7 linked regions of the Macaca mulatta genome follow. The protein of the gene in region 7 interacts with the protein of the main gene of each other region in a biochemical or structural test. Links are inferred from orthologs where the notes say so. Each region holds a gene or a part of one and is shown on either strand. Other genes may lie near its edges. The genes, in order: MAPK1, ATF7IP, POU2F1, HTT, E2F1, ESR1 and SP1.

The links.
Region 1: of the proteins of SP1 (region 7) and MAPK1, one has a biochemical effect on the other in vitro, tested with the Homo sapiens proteins (2 studies listed by BioGRID). The link is inferred for Macaca mulatta from reciprocal best matches to the Homo sapiens genes SP1 and MAPK1.
Region 2: the proteins of SP1 (region 7) and ATF7IP form a complex in vitro, tested with the Homo sapiens proteins (3 studies listed by BioGRID). The link is inferred for Macaca mulatta from reciprocal best matches to the Homo sapiens genes SP1 and ATF7IP.
Region 3: the proteins of SP1 (region 7) and POU2F1 form a complex in vitro, tested with the Homo sapiens proteins (3 studies listed by BioGRID and IntAct). The link is inferred for Macaca mulatta from reciprocal best matches to the Homo sapiens genes SP1 and POU2F1.
Region 4: the proteins of SP1 (region 7) and HTT form a complex in vitro, tested with the Homo sapiens proteins (2 studies listed by BioGRID). The link is inferred for Macaca mulatta from reciprocal best matches to the Homo sapiens genes SP1 and HTT.
Region 5: the proteins of SP1 (region 7) and E2F1 form a complex in vitro, tested with the Homo sapiens proteins (4 studies listed by BioGRID and IntAct). The link is inferred for Macaca mulatta from reciprocal best matches to the Homo sapiens genes SP1 and E2F1.
Region 6: the proteins of SP1 (region 7) and ESR1 form a complex in vitro, tested with the Homo sapiens proteins (6 studies listed by BioGRID and IntAct). The link is inferred for Macaca mulatta from reciprocal best matches to the Homo sapiens genes SP1 and ESR1.

What each region holds. Positions count from the first base shown.
Region 1 is NC_133415.1:31,183,087-31,186,586, forward strand, and holds part of MAPK1 (mitogen-activated protein kinase 1), read left to right. Parts: intron 1-718; coding exon 719-901; intron 902-2,833; coding exon 2,834-3,023; intron 3,024-3,500. UniProt on the Homo sapiens protein: Serine/threonine kinase which acts as an essential component of the MAP kinase signal transduction pathway. MAPK1/ERK2 and MAPK3/ERK1 are the 2 MAPKs which play an important role in the MAPK/ERK cascade.
Region 2 is NC_133416.1:16,943,279-16,945,536, forward strand, and holds the end of ATF7IP (activating transcription factor 7-interacting protein 1), read left to right. Parts: intron 1-860; coding exon 861-1,280; 3' UTR 1,281-1,758; downstream 1,759-2,258. UniProt on the Homo sapiens protein: Recruiter that couples transcriptional factors to general transcription apparatus and thereby modulates transcription regulation and chromatin formation. Can both act as an activator or a repressor depending on the context.
Region 3 is NC_133406.1:24,774,584-24,778,637, reverse strand, and holds the start of POU2F1 (POU domain, class 2, transcription factor 1), read right to left. Parts: upstream 2,801-4,054; 5' UTR 2,584-2,800; coding exon 2,523-2,583; intron 1-2,522. UniProt on the Homo sapiens protein: Transcription factor that binds to the octamer motif (5'-ATTTGCAT-3') and activates the promoters of the genes for some small nuclear RNAs (snRNA) and of genes such as those for histone H2B and immunoglobulins.
Region 4 is NC_133410.1:3,254,538-3,258,554, reverse strand, and holds the start of HTT (huntingtin), read right to left. Parts: upstream 2,801-4,017; 5' UTR 2,662-2,800; coding exon 2,426-2,661; intron 1-2,425.
Region 5 is NC_133415.1:86,450,472-86,453,971, forward strand, and holds part of E2F1 (transcription factor E2F1), read right to left. Parts: intron 2,859-3,500; coding exon 2,768-2,858; intron 2,417-2,767; coding exon 2,197-2,416; intron 155-2,196; coding exon 2-154; intron 1-1. UniProt on the Homo sapiens protein: Transcription activator that binds DNA cooperatively with DP proteins through the E2 recognition site, 5'-TTTC[CG]CGC-3' found in the promoter region of a number of genes whose products are involved in cell cycle regulation or in DNA replication.
Region 6 is NC_133409.1:70,391,526-70,395,628, forward strand, and holds the start of ESR1 (estrogen receptor), read left to right. Parts: upstream 1-1,303; 5' UTR 1,304-1,436; intron 1,437-4,103.
Region 7 is NC_133416.1:60,525,951-60,530,086, forward strand, and holds the start of SP1 (transcription factor Sp1), read left to right. Parts: upstream 1-1,336; 5' UTR 1,337-1,375; coding exon 1,376-1,382; intron 1,383-1,886; exon of another isoform or gene 1,887-2,083; coding exon of another isoform or gene 2,084-2,165; intron 2,166-2,722; coding exon 2,723-2,880; intron 2,881-3,175; coding exon 3,176-4,136. UniProt on the Homo sapiens protein: Transcription factor that can activate or repress transcription in response to physiological and pathological stimuli.

The sequences.
Region 1 (3,500 bases), on a different chromosome or scaffold from region 7:
TATCATAAAGATAGTAGTAATTCTCAAGATTCAAATTCATAAAATTGAAGGTATAATTTTTATTATTGCTTTTACTTAGAATTCTGGTATATTAGACATTAAGGACAACTTGGAAAGAACTGGGCCCCATGTTGCTGCCGCAGATGTGTTTTTCGAATAATACTTTCTAGGTTTTCTTATAAAACTACCCAAACATCTTGATTCAGTTTCTTGGAAGAAATGGTCATGTCATTTTGCAAGTGAGAGAAACAAAGTTGATACAAATCATCAAGGTGTTCTCTTGGGTCCATTTTTGTTAGGGATAAAGATGTACTGTTGTCGGTTATTTGAATGTCTCTTCTGTGTCAGAGGAATTTGATACAACAGTAGGAAGGTGTTTTGGAGGCAGAAGTGATTATTCTCACCAGAATGCAGTTGCCGTTTAAGACAATGGGAAAATGCTTGTTTGTGTATTTCTGGGTTTATGAAAATACACATTCACCCAGTTAACAGGTCTAGGTTCTGTCTTAGTTTTGAGAGTCGCTGTATGCTATCTCATGTCAGTTGCATCCATCCTCCCTAGCTTGAGGCCTTTTTGTGGATAATATACATGCTACCTTCACAGGTATGAAACAGGTGTTTACACAGAGTGTTAAAAATATAATACTTTGCCAGTTTGCATTCTTCAACTATTCTGAGGGCTGTTTTTAATGCCATCTGTCTTTCTCTCTCTTTTAAGCTCTGCTTATGATAATGTCAACAAAGTTCGAGTAGCTATCAAGAAAATCAGCCCCTTTGAGCACCAGACCTACTGCCAGAGAACCCTGCGGGAGATAAAAATCTTACTGCGCTTCAGACATGAGAACATCATTGGAATCAATGACATTATTCGAGCACCAACCATCGAGCAAATGAAAGATGTGTATCCTTTTTAGGCAACTAGCCAATTCCACTGCTTGGTAACTTTGTTGAGTAAATAGAACTTGAAATTTCCTAAACTTAAAGGAAAAGTGCTTTAAACATGCTAAAGGGAAAATCGTCATCTGTTTGCCATTTACTCCCTAAGTCTAGTCATGGAAAATCTTGGTTAACTCCATTTGCAGTCATGTTTTTTTCTGTCTAAGAGATGGTTTGTTGTGATGATGAAAAGGTAAAGGGAAGATCAGTAGTAGACTAAGAAAGAGGGTGCCCTGGCTATCTACTGGGTGAAATTAGGACTGTCCTGATCTTAGAATCAGGTCACCACTTTAGGTCTCAGTTTCCCCTCCTTTAAAATGAAGGAACTAGTTGTCATGATCTTTAAGGTCAACTGGGCTCTGAAATTATGTGATTAACTATGACCAACATTTAGATATCTGGACTGAATAGGTCTAGAGGATGCTGCCTGGGCAAAGACTCCATTTGAAAGATAGAGAGGTTAAGTATACTGAAGAGGATCTGCCAGAAGGGAGAGGGTTATACAGCACTCCTACCAGTTTACCCAATTTGTATTCCACCCTCCAGGGTGCGGGAGCTCGCTGTCTCTAGGCAGCCCTTTCCATTTTTAAACAGCTCTGTTAATAAGTTGTAGTGATATTTGAAGTGAAATGCCTCCTGCCACTACCACCTGTTGGTCCTACTTTACTTTTGCCATGAAAATAAGCCTCTCTCAAATGACAGATTTTAAAATCATGTTTCCTTTGAATCCCATGCTGCGCCGCCTCTAGCATAAATCTGTAAGAAACAGAGAATATTATTTACACAGAGAGAGTAAAAAAAATGCAGAAATACTGCTAATGAAATAATACTATGATGAAGTTAAAGGCTAAATGCTTTAATAATTTAATTTCTGTTAGAAAGAAAGTAGCCAGCCGGGCGCGGTGGCTCAAGCCTGTAATCCCAGCACTTTGGGAGGCCGAGGCGGGCGGATCACAAGGTCAGGAGATCGAGACCACGGTGAAACCCCGTCTCTACTAAAAATACAAAAAATTAGCCGGGCGCGGTGGCGGGCGCCTGTAGTCCCAGCTACTCAGGAGGCTGAGGCAGGAGAATGGCGTGAACCCAGGAGGCGGAGCTTACAGTGAGCCGAGATCGCGCCACTGCACTCCAGCCTGGGCAACAGCGTGAGACTCCGTCTCAAAAAAAAAAAAAAAAAAAAAAAAAAGAAAGAAAGAAAGTAGCCATAGCTGAAGTTTTAGGTAGTTAAATAAGTGACCAGGCAAGAAAGCAAGAGGAGCAAAACACGCACAAACCCCTTCTTAGCACGACTTGCCCATAGTCTTATTTAGGATCTTAACAGTTATGGGAGAGTAAGAAAATAGATAGACTTAGGGTTGGATTTACTAGTAAGGGTATGTTTCTAGACCTGTATTTCTGGAAGTTTTATGTTTGGCTTTTGAGGAACTTGGGAAAGGAGGGGAGCGGCAACAAGAAGGAAAAAGAATAGTGACATTACAGGTTACTGGACCAAACAGAGGAGGGAATATGTGCTACTTACAGGCCACCAGTATTTCCAACAAACCTTGGAGGGGGTTCGTTGATGGTGGACAATTTAGAGAACAAAGAGGTTGAGACTTGAAGATTGACCAGAATTTCTGTAACAGCCTGTTTCAGATCTCAGTCTAGGCCCATAGCTGCATCAGTCAGATGTAATGCCGTAATTCTTGCCATCTCACAGGACCGAAAAGAAGTTAACGACTTCAGGTTCCTTCCATGAAAGAAACCAAGTTTTCCTCAGGTTTTTCTTTCCTTTAAGGGCCTCATAGTGTAATAATGGACTGTTTGGGAAGAGAGTCAAGAGAGGACGCATTTTTGTTTTCAACGCTTTGCTAAATATGACCAGCTAATTGGTGTTTTACTTAACCATTGCAAACAGATATATAGTACAAGACCTCATGGAAACAGATCTTTACAAGCTCTTGAAGACACAACACCTCAGCAACGACCATATCTGCTATTTTCTTTACCAGATCCTCAGAGGGTTAAAATATATCCATTCAGCTAACGTTCTGCACCGTGACCTCAAGCCTTCCAACCTGCTGCTCAACACCACCTGTGATCTCAAGGTCAGCCAGGTTATTAACTATTAAGCTGATATATATTGAAAAACTCTTTCACTGAAGCGTAGTTATATTTGTCATTATCGTATTTTAAATGACACTAGAAATGCCCAAAAACATTTTTATGGCAAAAATGCTAGTAGAGTGATAGTCCTCTTCTTCCTTATCCCATTGCTCCTTTTTCCCCAGAGATACTTTTTTTTTTCTTTTTTTTTTTTAAGATAGAGTCTTAGTATGTTGCCCAGCCTGGTCTGAACTCCTGGGCTCAAGCAGTCCTCCTTTCTCGGCCTCCCAAAGTGCTGGGATTACATACATGGGCCACAGCACCAGGCCAAGATAACTAACTACTGTAACAAATTGGTGGCCGTTTGCAGTGGCTCACGCCTGTAATCCTAGCACCTTGGGAGGCCGAGGTGGGTGGAGCACCTGAGGTCAGGAGTTCGAGACCAGCCTGGCCAACATAGCGAAACCCCATTTCTACTA
Region 2 (2,258 bases), about 44 Mb from region 7:
CAATGTCACATTATCCTGTGACACAATTTTGTCAGTGTTTGACTGGTATGAAGTATCATCATAATGACGATGATGTTCCAGTGTTAGAAAAGTCAATAGGACTTCCTAAAGTTAGAGTCACGTTTTTTTCATCATCTGGCCTTAACCTACCTTTCCAGATTTTTCTTCATGTACCCTATATCCAAGAAAAAGTTAATACTTGTTGTCCATACGTCCCCTCACTTTCCTGTCCACATGCCTTTGCTCATGCTTTATTTTTGGCTGAAAGGTACATGATTATTTCTGTATCTCTAGATCCTATCTTTCACAGTTCAGTTTAAATATCACCTTTTTTTTGTAAATTGGCCAAGAATATAGTACACATTCAGTGTTAATACGCTTATTTATAAGAATATGCTGTTGTCTTATATTGCAAAATAACTTAAAAATGAAAGTATAGTTGTATTCTCCAATTTTATATGATCTTGATTGCCATACATGATATTTTAAAATGTTATACTGAAGTGATAATCTGTAACATAGATAATTCAATCATAAATTATTTTGTTAGAAGTAGATCATTATTTCCGTGTTCCTCAAAATGATGTTCCATCAGCAGGGGCTTTTTATTTCCTAAGAAAAACTCAAAATATTTTAGGTCTAGGAAATAGAGCAGGAATAACCTCAGCATCATTGTTTGTGGCATCATTCATTACAAAACCCCAAATAGAACTTGCCAAATTTGATATGGTGTTTGGTATTTCCTAGAATTCTTGATGTAAAATGGTATCTCTATGTATGTTCTCTAAGGTGTTTTAATCCTAACATTCTAAAATGTTCTTTTTGCGATCATTATAAATCAGTGTGACTTGTTTTTTTAGGAGCCGCCACGCCCTGTGCACCCAGCACCCTTACCAGAAGCTCCACAACCACAGCGTGTGCCCCCAGAAGCTGCCAGCACATCTCTGCCTCAGAAGCCACACTTGAAGTTAGCACGAGTTCAGAGTCAAAATGGCATAGTACTGTCATGGAGTGTCCTGGAGGTGGATCGAAGCTGTGCCACTGTTGATAGCTACCATCTCTATGCTTACCATGAGGAACCTAGTGCCACCGTGCCCTCACAATGGAAAAAGATAGGGGAAGTCAAGGCACTTCCCTTGCCCATGGCATGTACTCTCACCCAGTTTGTATCTGGTAGCAAATACTACTTTGCAGTACGAGCCAAGGATATTTATGGACGTTTTGGGCCTTTCTGTGATCCTCAGTCAACAGATGTGATCTCTTCCACCCAGAGCAGTTAAACCTTGGAGCCTTTATATTTTCCTCTTTTAAAATTTCCACCTTTTGGTCTTGTTTTTAATCTTGTGCATGATACCCCATGTAAAATCCACCTTGTGCAAGATTTCTTGGACAGATGTGTGTATACACTACATTTGTTTATAAACAGAAGCAAAATAAACTCAGCCCACAAAGCTAGAATCTTTTCCTGGACAGTTTAGGCTTTGGGGTTTGGAAATGTAAATGTGTACCTTGCTTTAGTTTTGAGGCTGGGGAATATGTGTGGGTGTTTATGTGTGTTTTTCCCTATGTATGTGTTACTGCATTGGAGTCTCCCATTTTTATTCTCAAATTTACCTCTTAAAGTACGAAGTAGTAGATCAAAGGATCTGAGATGTGTAACTGGCATGACTCTGCTTTTAAAGGATCTGTAGGATCATTTTAGTTAAATGGTTTAAACAGAATCAAAACAAAACCCAAAGAAATGAATTAAAAACAAAATGGCTAAATAGTTTAAAATAGGTTGATTCGAACACAGGAAAGGATCTATTTGTTGTTTCTTTTGTCTGGTCTCCTAAGTTATTAATTAGGTTAAAAAAGATCTGCAATGGCCCCCTCCCTTTCCTGATCTGGCTTTTACATTTATTTTGTGCCTTAAAGATTAACTACAAAAATAAACATGGCCAAAAATAAATAAATAAACATGGCCATATGTCCATGGTTGCTTACTCTTCCCTTGCAGCCTTTTTACCCTTGATTTCTTGCACACCTCCTCAAGTAATTTTTTTTTTTTTTTTTTAGATGGAGTTTCGCTCTTGTTGCCCAGGCTGGAGTGCAGTGGAGTCTCAGCTCACTGCAACCTCCGCCTCCTCCGTTCAAGCAATTCTCCTGTCTCAGCCCGAGAGTAGCTGGGATTACAGGTGCCCGTCACCATGCCCGGCTAATTTTTGTATTTTTAGTAGAGATGGGGTTTCACCATGTTGGCCAGGCTGGTCTCAAAC
Region 3 (4,054 bases), on a different chromosome or scaffold from region 7:
CACACTCACACTCACACACACCCCGACACAAAATAAAAATGTTAAAGAAAATTTTACCCCAGGAAAGACCAAAAATCAAAATTACTGTTTCCTCTAAACAGTAAAAGTTAACCTGCCTCTCACAGGCCAACTGTCCTAAGTCTAGATAAAACATAAAATCAATTCTGACAACTTAAAGAAGAGGGGCGGGTGTGCTGGGAGAATAAGTTCCAAGATCAGGGTAAACACAATGCCTGTGTTTATTCTTCTTTTTTCACTCATTTAACCATGACACAAATACTCAAAGAAAACATAACCCCATTTTTGTTTTCAGTAATGCTACAATTAAAATAAGCAAGTCTATGACAATGAAAGCACAAAATTTACGTCAGCTCCATTTTAAATAAGAATGAAGATGTTCGAAAGGGAGCACCACAGCAAGAAATTATGAAAGTGTTAATTGGAATTTCTAATATTTAGCTACTCCACAACTCTTAGAGGAAAAGAAAAATGTCTCAGTTTCACAAATACTGCAGATCTTTACAAAGCCTTAAAGTATTTAACATGGGGGTGGGGAGCAAGCGGGGTACCTATCCCCAAAACTAAGTGATTTGGATTAAACCGAAATAAATTTCATAGGCTCTGAAAATGAAATACAGGACAGATTTTTTCCCCCTAGGCCCAATACTACTGCAAACTATAAGAAAGTCTTTTTAAGAGAAAACAAACCATATCAGACTTGATACTTAGCTATGAGCTGTTTTAATGCTAGTAAAGCCCCAAGAGAGTTTGTTTTGCCCGCGGAGGAGGGGAAAGTGTGTGGAAGTTGGTGGAGGTAGTCATTTTGGTTATTAGTAAATAAATCAAGCAGCACAGAACATGAGGCCTAGGCAACTGCTAGAGGAGCCAAGGCCTAGCTTTCCCCCTCTCTTCCCAGCACGGCCTGGGTTTGATCTCAGAGCCCTGTGGATTGCCAAGGAAAAAAAAAGAATCATATCGAACCACAAAAGCACATGGGGCGAATGTAAAATATAAACACGGCGTTGGGCTGTGAGTGGCTGTTATTAAAGGTCTGAATTACTAAACATGAGAGGCGGGGAAAGCCAGGCGGCCATTTCAATAATATAAACCTCCCCGAATTAGACATTATTCAAATGAGAAGAGGTTCGGCTAAGCAGAGAGTAAAGACGACCCAGCACCCAGCGAGAAAACACCGCCACAGAAGAAGGGAGGGGGATCCCCGTCCCTCCCCACCGACTCCCAACAGGAGAGAGGAAATCGAGATCAACTTGTCAGGCCAGCCCATTCTGGGGCAGGAGGGCAGCCCTTTACATCCAAGTTCTCGGGAGGCCTCTGGGAGCTTCTAGGGCCTCGGAGCGAGAGGCCCCGGAGGGCCACCCGCCCCGTGCGTCCCGGTCAGGCGCAAGGGGTGTGGGGAGCGGCGTGGGGGGGGCAGCGGGGAGGGGCAAAGGGAGACGGAGGTCAGACCACGCCAGGCACCTCCAGCCCAACTCGCCCGCGAAGCCCCGGCGGACGACGCAAAGGGGCTGCCGGCCGCCGGCCAGGGGCGCGCGGACCGCCCCAGAGGACATCCCCTCGGAAGGAACTTGCCCCAAGGACTCCTTCCAACCCAGTCCACCCCCTAGGGGGGCGACGCAGACCCCTGCGCGGGTTCCCCACCCCCGCCGCCCCAGGCCACCTCTTAGCGCCCACGACCGCTCACCCCTACCCACCTAGAGAGCAGGCCTGGCTTGGGTCAGGCCACCACACCGGGGACCACTGGGGCGCGGCCGAGGTGCCTGGGGCCGTGACCCCCGGGCTCAGCCCCGCTTGGACCCCCGTGCGGTGGCGGGGCGCGGGCAGGGAGCTCTCCCCGCGCGCACCCCCGGTTGCCCTGAGGGCCGCCCCCCGAGGCGGGCAGCGCCCCCCCGCCCGGGCCCGCTCCCGGGGGAAGACGCGTGCGGGTGTCCGGCCGCCGGGGTCCGCTCCGGCCCCGCCGCCTCCCCGGCATTGTGCTCGCCGCCGCCTCCATCCCCCTCCACGCCCCCCACCCCGCGCCCGCTCGGCCCCAGCCGCCCGCCCGCGCCCCACTGCGCCCCGCCAGCCCAGCAGCTATGAATATGTAAAATGTCTTTATTGTCCTCTCCCTCTGCCCCGGCCCCGCCGCCCCGCCGCGGACCCGCTCGGGTTCGGGCAAGGCGGCTAGGAGGCGGCAGCGGCGGCCGGCGGAGGAGGAGGGCCGGTGCCGGCGGGCGGGCGGCGGGCGGCGAGCGGCCAGCGGCGGCGGGGTGGGCCAGGGGCAGGAGGAGGGCGGTGGATTGCAGCCCCCTTTGCCCCTTGTCTTCCCCCTCCGCCTGGCCGCTCCGAGCCTCTTTCCCCCTCCGCTCGGCGCCCGGCGGGGGCTCCGTGCTCCCCGGCCCCCCATCTCCCCGCCGTTAATTATAATAATCCTGAGTACTAATAAATTATGCTAAGTCGCGGGGGGGGCAGCGGGAGCCGGGGTTGAGTATGAATATGAATATGTAAAATGCTGTAATGATTACCTGCTGCTGCTGCCGCCGCGGCTGAACTCTCATCTTGACTCGCTGCTCCTCCGTCCGCCATTTTGAATATTTTAACCAAAATCGCCCGGTCGATAAACCCTCCCTCGCTCTGCCTCCCCTCCCCCCTCCCGCCCTGCTTGCCTCCTCCCTCCTCTCCGCCCCCTCCCGCTCCTTCCTCTCCCCGGGCGCGCGCCAGGGGGCGCGCGAGGCCGGCGCTGTTCGCCCCGGCCCCCTCAGAAGAGCTCCACCCCCGTCCCGCGCTCTGCGCACGCGCCTTCGGGCCGCTGTGGCCTTTCGGTAGCTAAAGCAGCGCCCTCAATCTGCCCGTCACCCCTTCGCTTCGTTTTTCATCTCGGCTCTGCGCATGCGCGCCTATCTCCACGCGCCTGAAGTGTGGCCGGCGCATGCGCTCCCTCTAGCTCGGAACCAGATTATATAGTGCCATGGGCGTTTGTGATGTCTTAAGACTTCTCCCTTTTCCTCCCGCTTTGCTTCCCTCCCGGCTTCGCTCCGGTCTCCCCCAGTGGCCCGTGGCATTGTAAATGCAGGGCAAGGAGCACAGCGGCCAGGAGCGTGGGGCCGCGTGGAGGGGCAGTGGGCGGCCCGCGTGCCCTGTGCCCCGTACTTTCTTCAGGCTTTCCGCGCAGTTGAAACATTGGCAACAATGGACAAGCCGCTCCTCGCTAGGTAATTTCCGGCCCTCTGGGCAGGTAGAGGCGGAAACGACCGCAGCGGGGGCCGGGCATGAGACACCTGCTGAGCCACACGCGGGCCTCCCGCTTTAAATTTGAATCCGAACTAATCCCCGCCCCCGGCTCTGCCAATGCAGGAGACCCGGCCCCGGCAAACGCGAGGGGGAGTGTCCTGTGATTGTTTTAATTAGCCCTAAATCTCTTCTGCTCTACTTGCTTCTAACGCCCAGCTGGCTACCTCGGCAACTAGGCGTCTTATTAAGTCGCTAATTTCCGTCCTACCCTTCCTTTCTGCCTTCACGCCCCTCTGACGCCGCTCCCCTCGATCGAAACAGACCCCATCTTCTGAGGCTTTCCCCTCCTTTTTCCCGCCTTGGAACACCTTTTAAAACCTAGCAGTAAGCTGATAACTAATAAAAATGTCGAAATCAACCGTAACTTCATCGTGAATTTTATTTTACTGTGTTTCTCACAGTAAATATGGTATTGGGGAAGGGTTTCCCGTTGCACGTATCTTTCTTGGTAGCAAATGTTGCTGAGTTTTATCTTAAATGGTGAAATTCCCTGGACAAAGTCCCAGGTCTAATTATTTTACTAATTCTTAAAGCCCTAAGGTTTTTCTAGGCTTGGTTTTTTGTTTTTTCAGAATAAAAAGAAAGGTGTATTTCATGGTAAGCAAAGTTTTGTTTTTTGTTTTTTGTTTTTAAATCAGCTCTAGTTAATCTGTCTTGAGAGATACGACTGAAGCTTAAATTGGGTAGAATTGTCGGTTCTACACTTAAAAACAAAACTGATTTCCAAGTGAGAGCAATTATTTTAACGGCTAAAGTTTTAGTCATT
Region 4 (4,017 bases), on a different chromosome or scaffold from region 7:
TGAACCTGGGAGGTGGAGGTTGCAGTGAGCCAAGATCATACCACCGCACTCCAGCCTGGGTGACAATGTGAGACTACATCTCAAAAAAAATAAAGAAAAAAAATTATTACTGTAAACTACTTTTATTTTTACAGCATTTTAAATCTATCTTACAATATGCATAGATTATATCTGGCAGGATACAGGAGGAACTGTAATAGTGCTTGTTCTTGGGGACAAAGTTAGGTACTCAGATGAAAGGGGTGGAAGGAAGATATTTTAAGTATTGCTCTTTTGTAATTACGGAATTTGTGTCATGTTAATGTATTACTTATGCAAAAATAATAATTTCTTTTTTTTTTTTTTTTTTGAGACAAGAGTCTCGCTCTGTCACCCAGGCTGGAGTGCAGTGGCGCAGTCTCAGCTCACTGCAGCCTCTGCCTCCCGGGTTCCAGCGATTTTCCTGCCTCAGCCTCCCAGGTAGCTGGCATTACAGGCACGTGCCACCATGACCAACTAATTTTTGTACTTTTAGTAGAGATGGGGTTTCACCATGTTAGCCAGACTGGTCTCGAACTCCTGACCTCAGGTGATTCATCCGCCTAAGCCTCCCAAAGTGCTCGGATTAAAGGCATGAGCCACCTTGCCAGGCCTGATTAAATTTTTAAAATAAGGTAATCATATATTACCTTAAAATAAAGTAATGAAACAAAATCTATCTCCTTTGTAAAGGCAGCAAAGGAAATTTCTTGATACCCATATTTTGAAGATAAGCAAACGCAGGTTCTATCAAATCAGCACAGGAAAGAGACGGCATATTTTCAGAATGATCAAGTGTCTGAAGCAGCCCAGCAGAAAGGTCTTCCTTCCCATCAGGAGCCCAGTTTAGTGTTTACACAAGATACATGCAATGTGTGAACTTCTATGACACCTACCTCCTAGAAAGGCACTACAGTAAATTTCTGGAAGGATGAGAAATTACTTACTGAAGAGATAAGCCAAATTGTTTAAAAATTTATCTAAATATCCAAAAAGTTTTTCCATCCTTTAGAAGAATTTATTCCTAAATTTTACTAACAAATAAGCTAACACTGCTCTCCAAATCCTCCTCTTCTAATTAAACTTTCAAGACAAGGCAAGGATCATAACAGAAACAAAGAACAAGAAATATTACTAAAAATTAATCAGTCTTAATAGAGATATTCTTATCAAATGCCATCTGATACACGTCCAGATCGGAAATAGAACACTGAGAGGTAAGAGAAAGGCCTGAACTGCAGCGGAGTACTTCCTAAATCCTGCTAAACACTCAGCACACACTCCCACGTCCTGGGGTTCCGCTAGATGTTTTAATGGTCTCTTTTTCTGTTTCAAAAATTCTCCCCAAGAACAAGCAACAGAGACCTCTAGCTTCCAAAAAGTAACAAGCTGTCAGCAATGAGGCGAACAGAAACCCTTTCACTGGCACATGAGATGTCCACGGAGTCTGCAGACCTCCCATATTCTGGCAAGCCTGACTGCAATACTGGTAAAATGTATACCTCATTCATCCCTCGGCAATTAACCTCCCCCTCAGCAACGTGTTAGTTTTATTCCCAACACAAACAGGCAATAAACTTCAATCAACTCTTCCTAATATTTAAGATAATTTTATTAATACCACGTAAGTTCACCACTTATTTGGCAACCACAACTCATTCAAATGCCTGCACACTAACTTGCGCTTAGATGAGCAGGTCTCTTAGGTGGTGCTTAAAATCGTGTTACTACCACCGCGATCATGAACTAAATGAAATGCCCTGAGAATGTAGGAAGAGCCTCAAATCTCAGGCTGTTTTAAGTGCCACTTGGAAAATAAATCTCCCATTGGACGCGCCCTCACTCCCCGCCCCCCACCCCAGCCACTCCCGCCGAGGCGTCCTAAAAGCATTATGTCATCCACTGCCCCCACATCTCTCTAGCTCCAAACCCCGCCTCCTCTCGAGGTGTCCCGCGCCCCCAGCCCTCTTCCCTCTCTGACTAGATGAGGGAAGTGGCCCTGAGCAAATCTCGGCTCTTCCAAGTTCTCTTCAGAACACAGTTAAACCCCCGCCCTAGTTTCTCGCAAATAAAAAGAAACAAGTTTTCGCCCCAACTCTTCGCACCCTGGAAAGGGCGAGAGGGCTGAGGCCGTGACTCCCCTCCGTGAATTCAGGACAGGTCCCAACGAGGCTCTGCCTCCCCTCGCGGGAGGACAAGACCCAAGTGCGGGACCGGGGCTGAAGTGGGGGAAGGTCTCGCCGCAGGAGGGGGCGGGTGTCCCTCATTGGCTCTGGGTTGCTGGGTCACTCTGTCGCTGCGGGGCCGGGGGGGTTCGTGTCGCCGGCCCGCAGGCTGCAGGATTCCGCCATCCCCGCCGTAGGCTGGGACCCGCCGGGACAGGGAGCTGCAGCGGGCCCAAACTCACGGTCGGTGCAGCGGCTCCTCAGCCACAGCCGGGCCGGGTGGTGGCGGGGGCGGCGGCGGGGGCGGCTGCGGCTGAGGCAGCATCGGCTGTGCCTGCGGCGGCTGAGGAAGCTGAGGAGGCGGCGGCGGCGGCGGCGGCGGCGGCGGCGGCGGCTGTTGCTGCTGCTGCTGCTGCTGCTGCTGCTGGAAGGACTTGAGAGACTCGAAGGCCTTCATCAGCTTTTCCAGGGTCGCCATGGCGGTCTCCCGCCCGGCTGGGCAGTCCCCGGAGGCCTCGGGCCGACTCGCAGCGCCGCTCAGCACCGGGGCAATGAATGGGGCTCTGGGCCGCGGGTAAAAGCGGAACCGAAGCGGCCGTCCATCTTGGACCCGTCCCGGCAGCCCCCGCGGCGCCTTGCGTCTCAAGACGCTGCGCCGGCGGAGGCGGGGCCACGCCGGCCAGCATGATTGACAGCCCTAGCCTGCGGACTCTGCCAATGATTGGCCAGGGAGCCAGCCAGTCCCTGCGCCCGCATGTTCTGCCTCACAGAGCCACCAAAGCCTCTGACAGCGCAGCGCCCCACCTGGGCGAAGGAGCAGGGCTCAACGGACAGGGGACGGGGCGTGGCAAGACTGTAATGGGGTGGGGCGAAGCTGTGAAGGGGCAGGGCGAGGCGGGACGCGGAAGGGACGGGGCGGGACTACATGGTAACGAGGGGCGTGGCGAGGCTGGGGCGGGGCACAGCAGGCAGGGCGCCTGAGGGGCGGGGCGGGGCGAGGCTGGGGCGGAGCGGGGCGAGGCTGGGGGCGGGGACATTAGGCAGGGCGGCTGAGGGGCGGGACGGCTGAGGGGCGGAGCGAGGCGAGACGATGAGAGGCGGGGCGGATAGGGGAGGGGGCTGACCGTGAGGGGCGTGGCTGGGGGCGGGGCGGGAAGATGAGAGGTGGGGTGCGGAGGGCGGGGCCAGGGAGGGGTGGGGTGCAGAGGGGGCGGGGTGAGGGAGGGGCGGGGCCAGGGCGCGGCGCGCGGGACGCCGGCCCAAGCGGAATGGAACCCTCGCAGACGTCTGGAGCTGGGCGAGAGCCGGCCGTGGGCTCTGAGCCGAGGTGGCCTCGGGGCTTGCCCGCCCGCCACACTGGCCCGCGGCCAGAGCCAGGCTCACCTGGACAGCCCTGCGGGGAGCCTGCTGGGGACTCGCTGCACGGGGAGAGGGTGGGCGAGCCCCTGCGCAGAGCGCAGAGATTGCGCGTGGTCGGCGCGATCTGAAGACCCCAAGTGTGACCCTCCCCACCCCCCAGTGAGCTGGAGCGGCCCCTGCAGGGCGGTGCCCACAGGCCTGGCGCCCCCCATCGGTCCCAGCGCAGCGCCCCGGAAGGGAGGAGAGGGTCTGAGGCAGGCCCGGATGGTCAGCGCCCGCTGCCCACAGAGGCACTGTGATTAGTGCAGCGAGAAGCAGCTGTGGCCACAAGACGCCTCCCACAGGAATGAGTCCCGACCTGGGGGCGTTTCTGTATGGGAAAGCACCCTGCTCTGACCTGGCAGGACCCCCAAGGGGTGCCATTCAGCCTCAGCTCAGCAGAGATCTGTGGGGCACCCCCTCACGCCTGGGGCAC
Region 5 (3,500 bases), on a different chromosome or scaffold from region 7:
TCGCTGGCTGTCAGTATCCTCGGAGAGCAGGCGCAGCTGCGTAGTACAGATATTCATCAGGTGGTCCAGCTGCTGCTCGCTCTCCTGCAGCTGCCGGAGGTCCTCGGTCAACCCCTCAAGCCGCCCGCTGACGCCCACTGTGGTGTGGCTACCCCTGTGGGGAGGCACCAGGGAGGGTAGGGTTAGCAGCACTTGGCCCCTCTGGCCAGGAGCCCTGGCCCTCAGGACAGAGTCTGCTGCCACCTCTGTTCTGTGAGGCCCAGGCAAGCCCTTGCTTCTCTCTGGGTCTGGTTCCTCAGCTGGGCTCCAAATCAGAGTGTCATGGGCTTGAAGTCTGGCCCAAATATAAACACCTTCATGTCCCTCAACCAGGGTGGGATAAATGATGGAACTGACATGCCACGAAATATTACACACACACACAAGCATTTCCAAGACATGCTGTCAAATGAAAAAAAAGAAAAGGCTGGGCTTGGTGGCTTATAACTATAATCCCAGCACTTTGGGAGGCTGAGGCCAGAGGACTGCTTGAGCCTCAGGAGTTTGAGACCAGCCTGAGCAACACAGTGAGACCCTGCCTCTACACCAAATTAAAGAAATTAGCCAGACATGGTGGCATGTACTTGTAGTCCTAGCTACAGGTACAGGGCTTGAGCCCAGGAGGTTGAGGCTGCAGTAAACTGTATTTGTGCCTCCATACTCCAGCCTGGGCAACAGAGCAACACCCTGTCTCAAACCGCACCCCCACCCCACCAAAAAAAACACAAAAGATGCAGAATGGAACAATCTACCAAAAAATGAAAAGGCAGGTGTTTGTATCAAAGAAAGGGTAGTAGCAGGATGACTGGGGCGAAGGCGGGAGGGGGAAAATAAAACAAGTAAAAGAATAAAACATCTGCCGGGCGCGGTGGCTCAAGCCTGTAATCCCAGCACTTTGGGAGGCTGAGACGGGCGGATCACAAGGTCAGGAGATCGAGACCATCCTGGCTAACACGGTGAAACCCCGTCTCTACTAAAAAATACAAAAAACTAGCCGGGCGAGGTGGCGGGCGCCTGTGGTCCCAGCTACTCCGGAGGCTGAGGCAGGAGAATGGCGTAAACCCGGGAAGGCGGAGCTTGCAGTGAGCTGAGATCCGGCCACTGCACTCCAGCCTGGGCGAAAGAGCCAGACTCAGTCTCAAAAAAAATAAATAAATAAAATAAAACATCTATGCCAGACAGACCTCATGAGGGCATGAGAACCAGGATAGTGGTGACCTGGCGGTATGAAGGCTTGGCAATGACTGGAAAGGGGCACAAGAGAACCTTCTAGGGTGTTGAAAATGCTCCTATCTTGATCTGAATGGTGGCAACCCAGATGAATAAATATGTAAAGCTGCGCCAGGCGTGGTGGCTCACGCCTGTAATCCCAGCACTTTGGGAGGTTGAGGCAGGCAGATCATCTGAGATCAGGAGTTCGAGACCAGACTGGCCAACGTGGTGAAACCCATCTCTACTACAAAATACAAAAATTAGTTGGGCGTGGTGGCAGGCGCCTGGATCCCCAGCTACTAGGGAGGCTGAGGCAGGAAAATCACCTGAACCTGGGAGGTGGAGGTTCAGGTGATCTTAGTGAGCTGAGATCGCACCACTGCACTCCAGCCTGGGTGACAGAGTGAAACTTCATCTAAAAAGAAAAAAGTAGAGGCCGGGCGCGGTGGCTCAAGCCTGTAATCCCAGCACTTTGGGAGGCCGAGATCGGCAGATCACAAGGTCAGGAGATCGAGACCATCCTGGCTAACACGGTGAAACCCCGTCTCTACTAAAAAAATACAAAAAATTAGCCAGGCGTGGTGGCGGGCACCTGTAGTCCCAGCTACTCCGGAGGCTGAGCCAGGAGGATGGCGTGAACCTGGGAGGCGGAGCTTGCAGTGAGCCAAGATCGCGCCACTGCACTCCAGCCTGGGCAACAGAACGAGACTCCTTCTCAAAGAAAAAAAAAAAGAAAAAAGAAAAAAGTAAAGCTACAAGTGAGGTGGATATGTAACATTTGTGTGCTTTTTACCATCTATCATCTCAGGGAAGCTACCTCTCCTCTCTGAGCCCATTTCCCTAGCTGTAAGATGGGGATGCAGGCAGCCACAGTGGGTATTACTACCAGCTCCTCCAGGCTGGCATGGGCAGGTGTGCCTGCCCTCCTGTGTGGCCGGTACCTACAGCCACTGGATGTGGTTCTTGGACTTCTTGGCAATGAGCTGGATGCCCTCGAGGACGTTGGTGATGTCATAGATGCGCCGTTTCTGCACTTTCAGCACCTCAGCAGCCCAGTTCAGGTCGACAACACCGTCGGCCGAGCGGCTCAGCAGCTCCAGGAAGCGCTTGGTGGTCAGATTCAGTGAGGTCTCATAGCGTGACTTCTCCCCCGGGGATTTCACACCTGCGGGGGTGTGGTCAGGCAAGACAGGGCCCTTCAGCATCCACCCCCACCTCCAGCCAGGCCTGCTACTCTGGCAGGGCAGGGCCGCAGGATGATAGGGGCTGGGGGACAGCCAGCTCCTTCCCCTTGGCGAGGCCAACCACAGCATTCTTCTTCTGGCCGGGGAACTCCTCACCCCTCAGGGCCTGGAGAAACCAAGCCAGGTGGCCACTCCCACTGCCCATCAGGGTCCTCAGAGGCCTGGCTCAAGCCCGACAAGCCAGATGTTAGCTTGCAAACTTGTTTGTCTGTTCACACCCCTAACCTGGGCCTGGTCACAGGGGGCCTGCCCAGCCCAAGCTTCATAGTTACCTTTTCCTGGATGGCGGCCTCTGCCCCGAGCTGGCCCACTGCTCTCCGCCAGGTACTGATGGTCAGTTTCCAGGTCCAGCCTCCGCTTCACCTGTGGCGAAAACAATGGGAGGATGCCCAGTAACCAGAAGTGAGGCCAGAAGAGACCTGGCTGAAGGCTGGGTGCCTCTGGACTACCCCCGCCTCAGTTTCTCTAGCAGGATGCCTGAGTGTGTGACTGAGGGAGATCAGAGAAGACACAGCCTGAAAGTCACAGTCCTACTACACAGGACACTCAATTTTCACTTCTCTGGGGTCTAGTGGTGGATTTAAAACACATCTGCAAACTTTTTGATCCTTCTCCTTCAAAAGATGAAGCCTAATTCTCCTCCCCTTTATGAGCTAGATCTGGTAACTTGCTTCTGATGAATGGAATGTGGTGGAAGGGATGGCGTGTCACTTTTGAGACCGGGTCAGAGGCACTGGAGCTTCCTCCTTGCTCTGTATTAGGTCACTTTGCCATGTCATATGGACATTCAAGTAGCCCCAATGATAGGCAAGAAACTGTAGCTTCTTCCCAACAGCAACACTTAGTCACAACTTCTGTTAGCAGCCAGACCCCAAACACTGGCTGAACCTCCAGAAACCCCAAGCGAGAGCTGGATAAGTCTTCCCTGAATTCCTGACCCACAAAAACTATATAAGAAATGTTTAGGCCGGGCGTGGTGGCTCACGCCTGTAATCCCAGCACTTT
Region 6 (4,103 bases), on a different chromosome or scaffold from region 7:
TATGCTTTTCGTGTGAACATACCTAAAGCATATACACGTAACCAGAAAATTAAAAGATGGAAAAATCTGCAGAGAGTGACAAAGGAAAGCTGGTGCATTTGTATTAGTATCAGATAAAGCTCATGTTTAGATAAAAAACATTATAGTAATAGAGGAAGTCAAAAGGTTAAAGTTTCAATTCACCAAGAAATATCCATTCTAAACATGTATACATACCCAATTAAGCTGCCTCAAAATATATATGACAAAAATTTAGAGAATTGTAGAGTCAGATATAAGGATTGAAAAGGAAGAAATGAAACTAATTATTTTCAGATGATATATACATTTACATAAAAAACTCCAAAGAATCTTCAGATAAATTATTAGAAATTGTAGGAGAGCTCAGCAAGAAGGCAGGATATAAAATTAATATACAAAAGTCAATGTCATTTCACTATACCAGAAAAAAGACAATAACATTAGAAAATAAATCTAACATAAGATGTAGAAAAACTTATTAGAGGCAAAATTTTCTTGAGAAATATTAAAGAAGATCTAAATAAGTAGAATTACATCATATTCATGCATAAGAAGGCAACATTTTGAAGATGTCTTGTTATATATAGGCCTAGGAATAATATAGTTTTAAGTTATGTTATTTTGAACTGTAGGTGAAAGAAAGCTCTTTTTTTTCCTTTGAGTATTTTAAGATTTTGAATAAAGTCATAGTGCTCTAGGAAGGTTGTAATATTTTATACTTCGCCAGCAGTGTTTGAGAATGCTTACTTCCTACATTATAACCACCATAAATATTTAAAACCTGATAGCACACAGTTTTAAAAATTTGAAATTCTCCAATTAACAGTGACCTTTAAAAATTATGTTTACTGGTCTCCATTATTTTGTCCTTTGTAAATTTTTATTAGTTTTTCTGTTCACATGTTCCATTTTTAAAATAGACTTTTAAGAGCTGTTTGTATTAAGAATATTAAGGCTTTGTCCCTATAATTAGTATTTTTCAGAATATCCTTTCTAGGTACAGTTTTTCAGTTCTAGTGCACAGAATGGAAACTTGTTACCTGCTATACCACATTTTCACTAGGATGTGATGTATTTATCACAAACAACAGTATTGGTCAACATTTTCCCTCGCTGTGAAGTGCACATTTGACATCCTTTAGAAAAATTACTGACGGTTTTGAGACGATTGTTTTGTGCTTTCTTTCAGTCAACGTAATTTTCCCGAAAGCAGAGATGACTCTTCCAGACATGCTAACAATGCCTGAACAAACTGTGTAAGCTTAGTCCAAAAAAAATATTTGATTAATAGATTTTATTTTGGTAGATTCTAAGGTTCTAAGCAGTCAGAGAAATAATCGCAGAGCCTCAAATATCTCCAAAATCTGATACCAATCCCTTTGATTGTGAATTATATTCTGTAGCTACCAAAGAAGGTAAGTTTTAATTTTTTCTACTCTATTAACTTTCTCTTGGGCAACTGAATATTAAGATGACTATGTAAGGAGGTTATCAGACCAAGGCCTCACACATCAGGATAAAAGCACATGCCATAGAAAGAACATTTGTGTCTCACAAGGTGATACCAAGGCAAGGCTATGGGATATATATGGGCACAATGTTGATATCTTCAAAGACTTAATACATAGTCTGGAGGTTTTCAGAGATTTTAATTTATAATGACAATCTTTCAAATTAGGAGAATTTTTGGACTGTAAAGTTAGCCAAACAAGTCTTCAATGATAAAAAACGTCTATATCTTACACAGGGGGAATACATTTTTTGTTCGTTTTAATTTTTTCTCTGTCTATTCATACAGGGGCATCACATGTCTTTATCATTAAAAACTCTGATTTAGATAGACAGTTGTAGAGAAATTTAATGTGTGAGAATTTAAAGTTGTTTTATAAAGATGTAGCAAAATACAAATTTAAGACCCACAGCACCAATGAAAAAGGGAAATTAATTAAACTAGACAACTTTTATGGGTACTACCCATTAAAATTAAAATTTTAGTCATTGTAAATTATATTACATTGTAACAGTTTTCAATCTGTTGTCAAGTTGAATATTTTGGTTGACAATTGTATTTCACAGTTGTTCACACTTTGCATAATTTTCTAAGGAAAATGAGTCCCTTGGGGAGAAAATTGTTCTAAAATTTTGTTGTTGGATAATGTTGCTGCACTAACATGATTTGCTGAAGTGGATCTACCATGTGTGTTTAGGTTTTTGTTCTTTACGAAATGTGTTGGGTGAAATTTTCCATAACACTGGTGAACTTTTCATGCTAATTTTCCAGTCCGTCAGTTTAAATATTATGCATTTTTTCCTGCGAATCTATCTTGAATCTGAAAAGGCCCCAGAAGGAATTAGCATGAGTCCAGAGTAGATGGACTGCAAATGTTACTCATATTTCAACATGTATCCAGCTTTCAGAAATAGCTTACTGAAATCAAGGTTGAACCACATGAAATTTTGGGGTTTTTTTGGATGTAAAAAAGGTTAAATATTGACATTTTCATATCATCCAATCTAATATCTTCCTCTAGTGAGGTTCTGGCAAAAAAAAAAAAAAAAAAAAAGTATGATGACCCAAGTTGTTCACTCTTTTAAGCTTTATATTTCAAAATATTTTTAAAATTTAAAGCCATATAAGTGCATCCCAAAAAACATGGGAAAATTTTGTAGGCTACTTTTGTTTACTGATTTTTCTTCTATAGATTTATTTTTATGCTATGCCTGACTCTCCAATTAGATTTTAGTCATCCAGGAAAGTACAATTGCTTGTACTTCTAAGCAATTCTCCCATCACCTGGACATTAACTGCAGCCCACACTGCAGTGTCTTGACTGCAGTAGGCACTCAGTAAATATTTATTGATGGTCCTGATTATGGGATGATGAAATATGCTAAAGGTAACTTAAACTTTTGTCAATAAAACTGAGTTTCAGGTTAGTTTGACCTTTTCCGTATCTCTAAATATTTTCTTTCATGTCATTTTTGTGAAATAGCTCACAAAAGTACTTATTGATTCTGAAATCCTTTTCCCCTCTGGTATTCCTGAGCTATTCTCACACACAGCACACCAGTGCCACCGTTTGCTGTTTTGGTTAAAATCATTCTCATTAATATTCCTCATTCAGTAAAAATAGTTGATTCTCAGTTATAAATATACACTTCATATTGGCAATGTGGGATGGAAAACAAAATGATGATATTGACTCCATAAGATAAACAGCAGTCTTTAGAATAGAGTTTGGTGCATAACTGTTCTAAATGTATCAAAGTTATCTCATTTAATCCTCCCACACACCTGTGGGAAGAGAGTATTTGTCTTGCTTTACAGATAAGGAAGCTGAGGCTTAGAAGATTCATATGTCTAACTAAGATCACAGAGCTGGTAAATCAGCCAAGTTTGAGTCTAAATCCAGGTTTTAAATATCATATTACATGTAGGCATAGATAAGCAAGAACAGGTTTTCCTGAAGATGGCCAGGCTAAGGCTTAGAAGAAGGAAGCTCAAGGAGACTAAACCAAGATATGCTAAGGCAAGTTTTTTTGTTTGCTTGTTTGTTTTTGAGACCGAGTTTCGATCTTGTTGCCCAGGCTGGAGTGCTGTAGCATGATGTTGGCTCACCACAACCTCCGCCTCCTGGGTTCAAGTGATTCTCCTGCCTCAGCCTCCCGAGTAGCTGGGATTATAGGCATGCACCACCATGCCCAGCTAATTTTGTATTTTTAGTAGAAACGGTGTTTCACTATGTTGGCCAGGCTGGTGTCGAACTCCTGACCTCAGCTGATCCGCCCACCTCAGCCTCCCAAAGTGCTGGGATTACAGGCATGAGCCACTGCGCCTGGCCTGCTAAGGTAAGTATTAACCATTAGAGATGACTAGTCCCAGTGACAGGTCTTTCCTACTGGGAGTCAGCCAAGAGCTCCCCACTTTTCTGGTTCCGTTGTTCCTCCTGCAAAGTTCCATTCATAAAGTGGTTTCCCATTTGATTGTCCAATGATGCAAATCTCCAGTCCTTTATAGCATTGAGTTTCTCATGGCCTTTTACCGTTGAGTTTCTCATGGCTAATGAATGCTAATGAATTGG
Region 7 (4,136 bases):
GGAGGCCAGAAATCCAGGTGCCTGCAGTAAAGTTTAACCTTCGTGATTGCAAAAAGCAGGAGCTCAACTATCTTGCTTTATGCATAGGCGGTATTTACTATTAACTCGGAAAAATGGAAGTGACTTATCCGCACTTTAGCCTCAAAGCTTGAAAAGTTAACCAGTCGTAAGTGGTTAGCGCCTTTGTCTGGCGGAACTTAACAAAATGGCGTTTTCTGGAATCTTACGGAGACTCTGCATATTGGTCAGCTCAGTATTAACTTATTTGGTGAGCGCTGTCCCCAAATCCCGTTCCGGCTGCACTCGCAGGGCTTGCAGCGACATTGAGGTATCTGCCCGCCTGTCCGCCCACCCGGGAAACGGGTAAGATTTGAGAGGTACTTTATAGGGGCAGTTAAATGAAGACTCAAACAAATCCTAGTGTTGATGCGGAACTGCGCGCCGAATGCCTTGGCTCTGACACCTGTTGAGCTGCAAGACTTCACTAAAGCGTCCCACCTAATGACTGTAACAACGTCCCCTGAGGTGGGCCAATATGGCGACGGTCTCCTCTTGGCACAGCCCTCTTCCCTCCCTCATGATGGGCGGCTCCGGTAACGCCCATTGGCCAACTAGGAGGCGGTGCCAGGCTTACTTCGTTCCCTCATTGGATTGAATAACTTAGGGAGCCGCCAATTCTCCTCTGCCACTCCAAGTTTCCGCCCTCAGAGTTAATCTGGCGTTTAATTGGCTTTTAATTCACGTCAATATGCGTCCTTTCCTGTCTTTTTTCAGTCTTAATCCAATCATAACTTTCCTGGCTGCCCGCCTGATTTCTGATTGGTTTTAATCAGCTTCAGCCTATCCTATTCCTGTCTACTTCTTACCTCTCCTCCCACTAGGATTTTGCCCAAGCATATCCCGGATTCTAGTTGGCCGTTGTTCTGTCATTCCTATCAAACCTTTCCCTATCCCAATGTCTCAGGGAGCCCGCCTGCCGGTTGACTGGTTTCCTTCCAAGCCAATAATCCCCAGCTCCCGCCCATCTTCACTTCCTGCATCTTTCATTGGCTTTTAACACTGAGAGGGCTGTCTTTTTGGGCGGACACCAGGCACGCAACTTAGTCTTACACGCCTTAGAGAGCAAGCGAGTCTTGCCATTGGAAAACCTCACCGTCTTTCTTCTGCAAGTCCCACCTTTCCCCCTCCCTCATTGGGCGGGGCAGCAGAGAAGGGGCGGGGCATAGGTTGGGCTGGTGGCGCGCTGCTCCCTCCTCCTCACCCCCCCCTCCCTGTCCGGTCCGGGTTCGCTTGCCTCGTCAGCGTCCGCGTTTTTCCCGGCCCCCCCCAACCCCCCCGGACAGGACCCCCTTGAGCTTGTCCCTCAGCTGCCACCATGAGCGGTAAGGATGAGTCCACTCCAAGCTTAGGGGTGGGAGGCGAGTGAGGGGGCGCGCGCGAGGGCCGACCGGGCGATCCCCGCCGTGAGGGGGGGCGGGCGGGAGGCGGCGGCGGCGGCCTAGGTCCCGCCCGGGGCGGAGGGAAGGGAGGGAGACGGGGCAGTGGCTGGGCCTCCGAGGAGGAGGGGGATGGGCCGCCCGCCCCGGGGGAGGGGGCAGCGTGGCCTCGCCCGCCCCCTGCCCGCCCCGGCCACGGGGGACGGGCCTTACCCCCCACTACTCGGCCGCCCGCCTGAGGCTCCTCCCGCCGGGGGCTGGAGCCGCGGGGGCGGCCCGAGCAGTGAAGGCCCCGCCCGGGCCAACCGCTTGTCTGGTCCGTCCTCTGGTCGCCGCCTGCTCCGGCGCCCTCCTCCCCCCACTTTCCGTAGATTTCCCTTCCCCCCGCCCCACCGTCCCGCCCTTTCCACGCCCCTCACCCCGAAACCGCCCTTTCCCTCAGGGCCCGCCCTCCGCCCCGAAACCTCCTGACTACTAACCAGTACACCCCTTTAGTTCCTTAGTAGTATTCACAAATGTTTTCCTACTAAAACTTTTTATTTCTTTTTCCCTTCTCCTCTTGTTACTTTTAATACTTGGGTTTTTGTTTATCTCTCTCTTTTTTTTTTGAGAGGGAGTTTCGCTCTTGTCGCCCAGGCTGGAGTGCAATGGTGCGATCTCGGCTCACTGCTACCTCCCGGATTCAAGCGATTCTCCTGCCTCAGCCTCCGGGAGTAGCTGGGATTACAGGCATGCGCCACCACACACGGCTAATTTTGTATTTTTAGTGGGGACGGGGTTTCTCCTTGTTGGTCAGGCTGGTCTCAAACTCCTGACCCCAGGTGATCCTCCTGCCTCAGCGTCTCAAAGTACTGGGATTACAGGCATGACCACCGCGCCTGGCCTCTCCATCTCTTTTAACCTTAATTTTAGCAATCTTTCCATCCACCCACATATTGTTTTTTGCCTTACTTGTCCTTTTTTCCCTTAGGATACTTTTTCTTATTTTGAAACTCTTTCAGCATGACTACCATCCTTCACATTTCCTATCCCCAAAGCACTTTTTGAATGTTTTCTTAGTTAATTTTGTGTAAGGGAGAATTGAGGCCCACTTTTGGCACCATTGAGCCTAGTTCATGTCCTGCATGCCCTGCAGCTCCCCTCTGCCCTCCAATCCATTTTCTTTATACTGGCGCCTTTCGCCTTCCTGTTAGTCATTGCTATTTCATCATAGCCTCCTTTTATCCTTCCTACCTCATCTCTTTTCTTCCCTCAAGTTTAAGTTGTTTGTTTTTTAATTGTTTTAGACCAAGATCACTCCATGGATGAAATGACAGCTGTGGTGAAGATTGAAAAAGGAGTTGGTGGCAATAATGGGGGCAGTGGTAATGGTGGTGGTGCCTTTTCACAGGCTCGAAGTAGCAGCACAGGCAGTAGCAGCAGCAGTGGAGGAGGAGGAGGGCAGGTAAGTGATAATAATAGAGTGGGGAAGATGTTGAGAGGATGTAAATATTCTTAGATAATTGCCTTACTCTTCATAGAAAGCTTTTTAGGGAGCTTATCAAAACCATTTTATAGATAAGAAGTAAGAGTATGGAGATCCCCAAAGACAGGAGTTTCAGCAATACAGATAGGTCAGCTTTTTGTTTCTGTTTTTTGCTCCTTGTCTGCACTACGTTGCTGTTTATTTGTTGTATACTGCCCCCTAGGCTGGCAGCTGGGTGTCACTAACTCCTTTCCTCTCCCTTATTTTTGGCCAGGAGTCCCAGCCATCCCCTTTGGCTCTGCTGGCAGCAACTTGCAGCAGAATTGAGTCACCCAATGAGAACAGCAACAACTCCCAGGGCCCGAGTCAGTCAGGGGGAACAGGTGAGCTTGACCTCACAGCCACACAACTTTCACAGGGTGCCAATGGCTGGCAGATCATCTCTTCCTCCTCTGGGGCTACCCCTACCTCAAAGGAACAGAGTGGCAGCAGTACCAATGGCAGCAATGGCAGTGAGTCTTCCAAGAATCGCACAGTCTCTGGTGGGCAGTATGTTGTGGCTGCCACTCCCAACTTACAGAACCAGCAAGTTCTGACAGGACTACCTGGAGTGATGCCTAATATTCAGTATCAAGTAATCCCACAGTTCCAGACCGTTGATGGGCAACAGCTGCAGTTTGCTGCCACTGGGGCCCAAGTGCAGCAGGATGGTTCTGGTCAAATACAGATCATACCAGGTGCAAACCAACAGATTATCACAAATCGAGGAAGTGGAGGCAACATCATTGCTGCTATGCCAAATCTACTCCAGCAGGCTGTCCCCCTCCAAGGCCTGGCTAATAATGTACTCTCAGGACAGACTCAGTATGTGACCAATGTACCAGTGGCCCTGAATGGGAACATCACCTTGCTACCTGTCAACAGCGTTTCTGCAGCTACCTTGACTCCCAGCTCTCAGGCAGTCACCATCAGCAGCTCTGGGTCCCAGGAGAGCGGCTCACAGCCTGTCACCTCAGGGACTACCATCAGTTCTGCCAGCTTGGTGTCATCACAAGCCAGTTCCAGCTCCTTTTTTACCAATGCCAATAGCTACTCAACTACTACTACCACCAGCAACATGGGAATTATGAACTTTACTACCAGTGGATCATCAGGGACCAACTCTCAAGGCCAGACACCCCAGAGGGTCAGTGGGCTACAGGGGTCTGATGCTCTGAACATCCAGCAAAACCAGA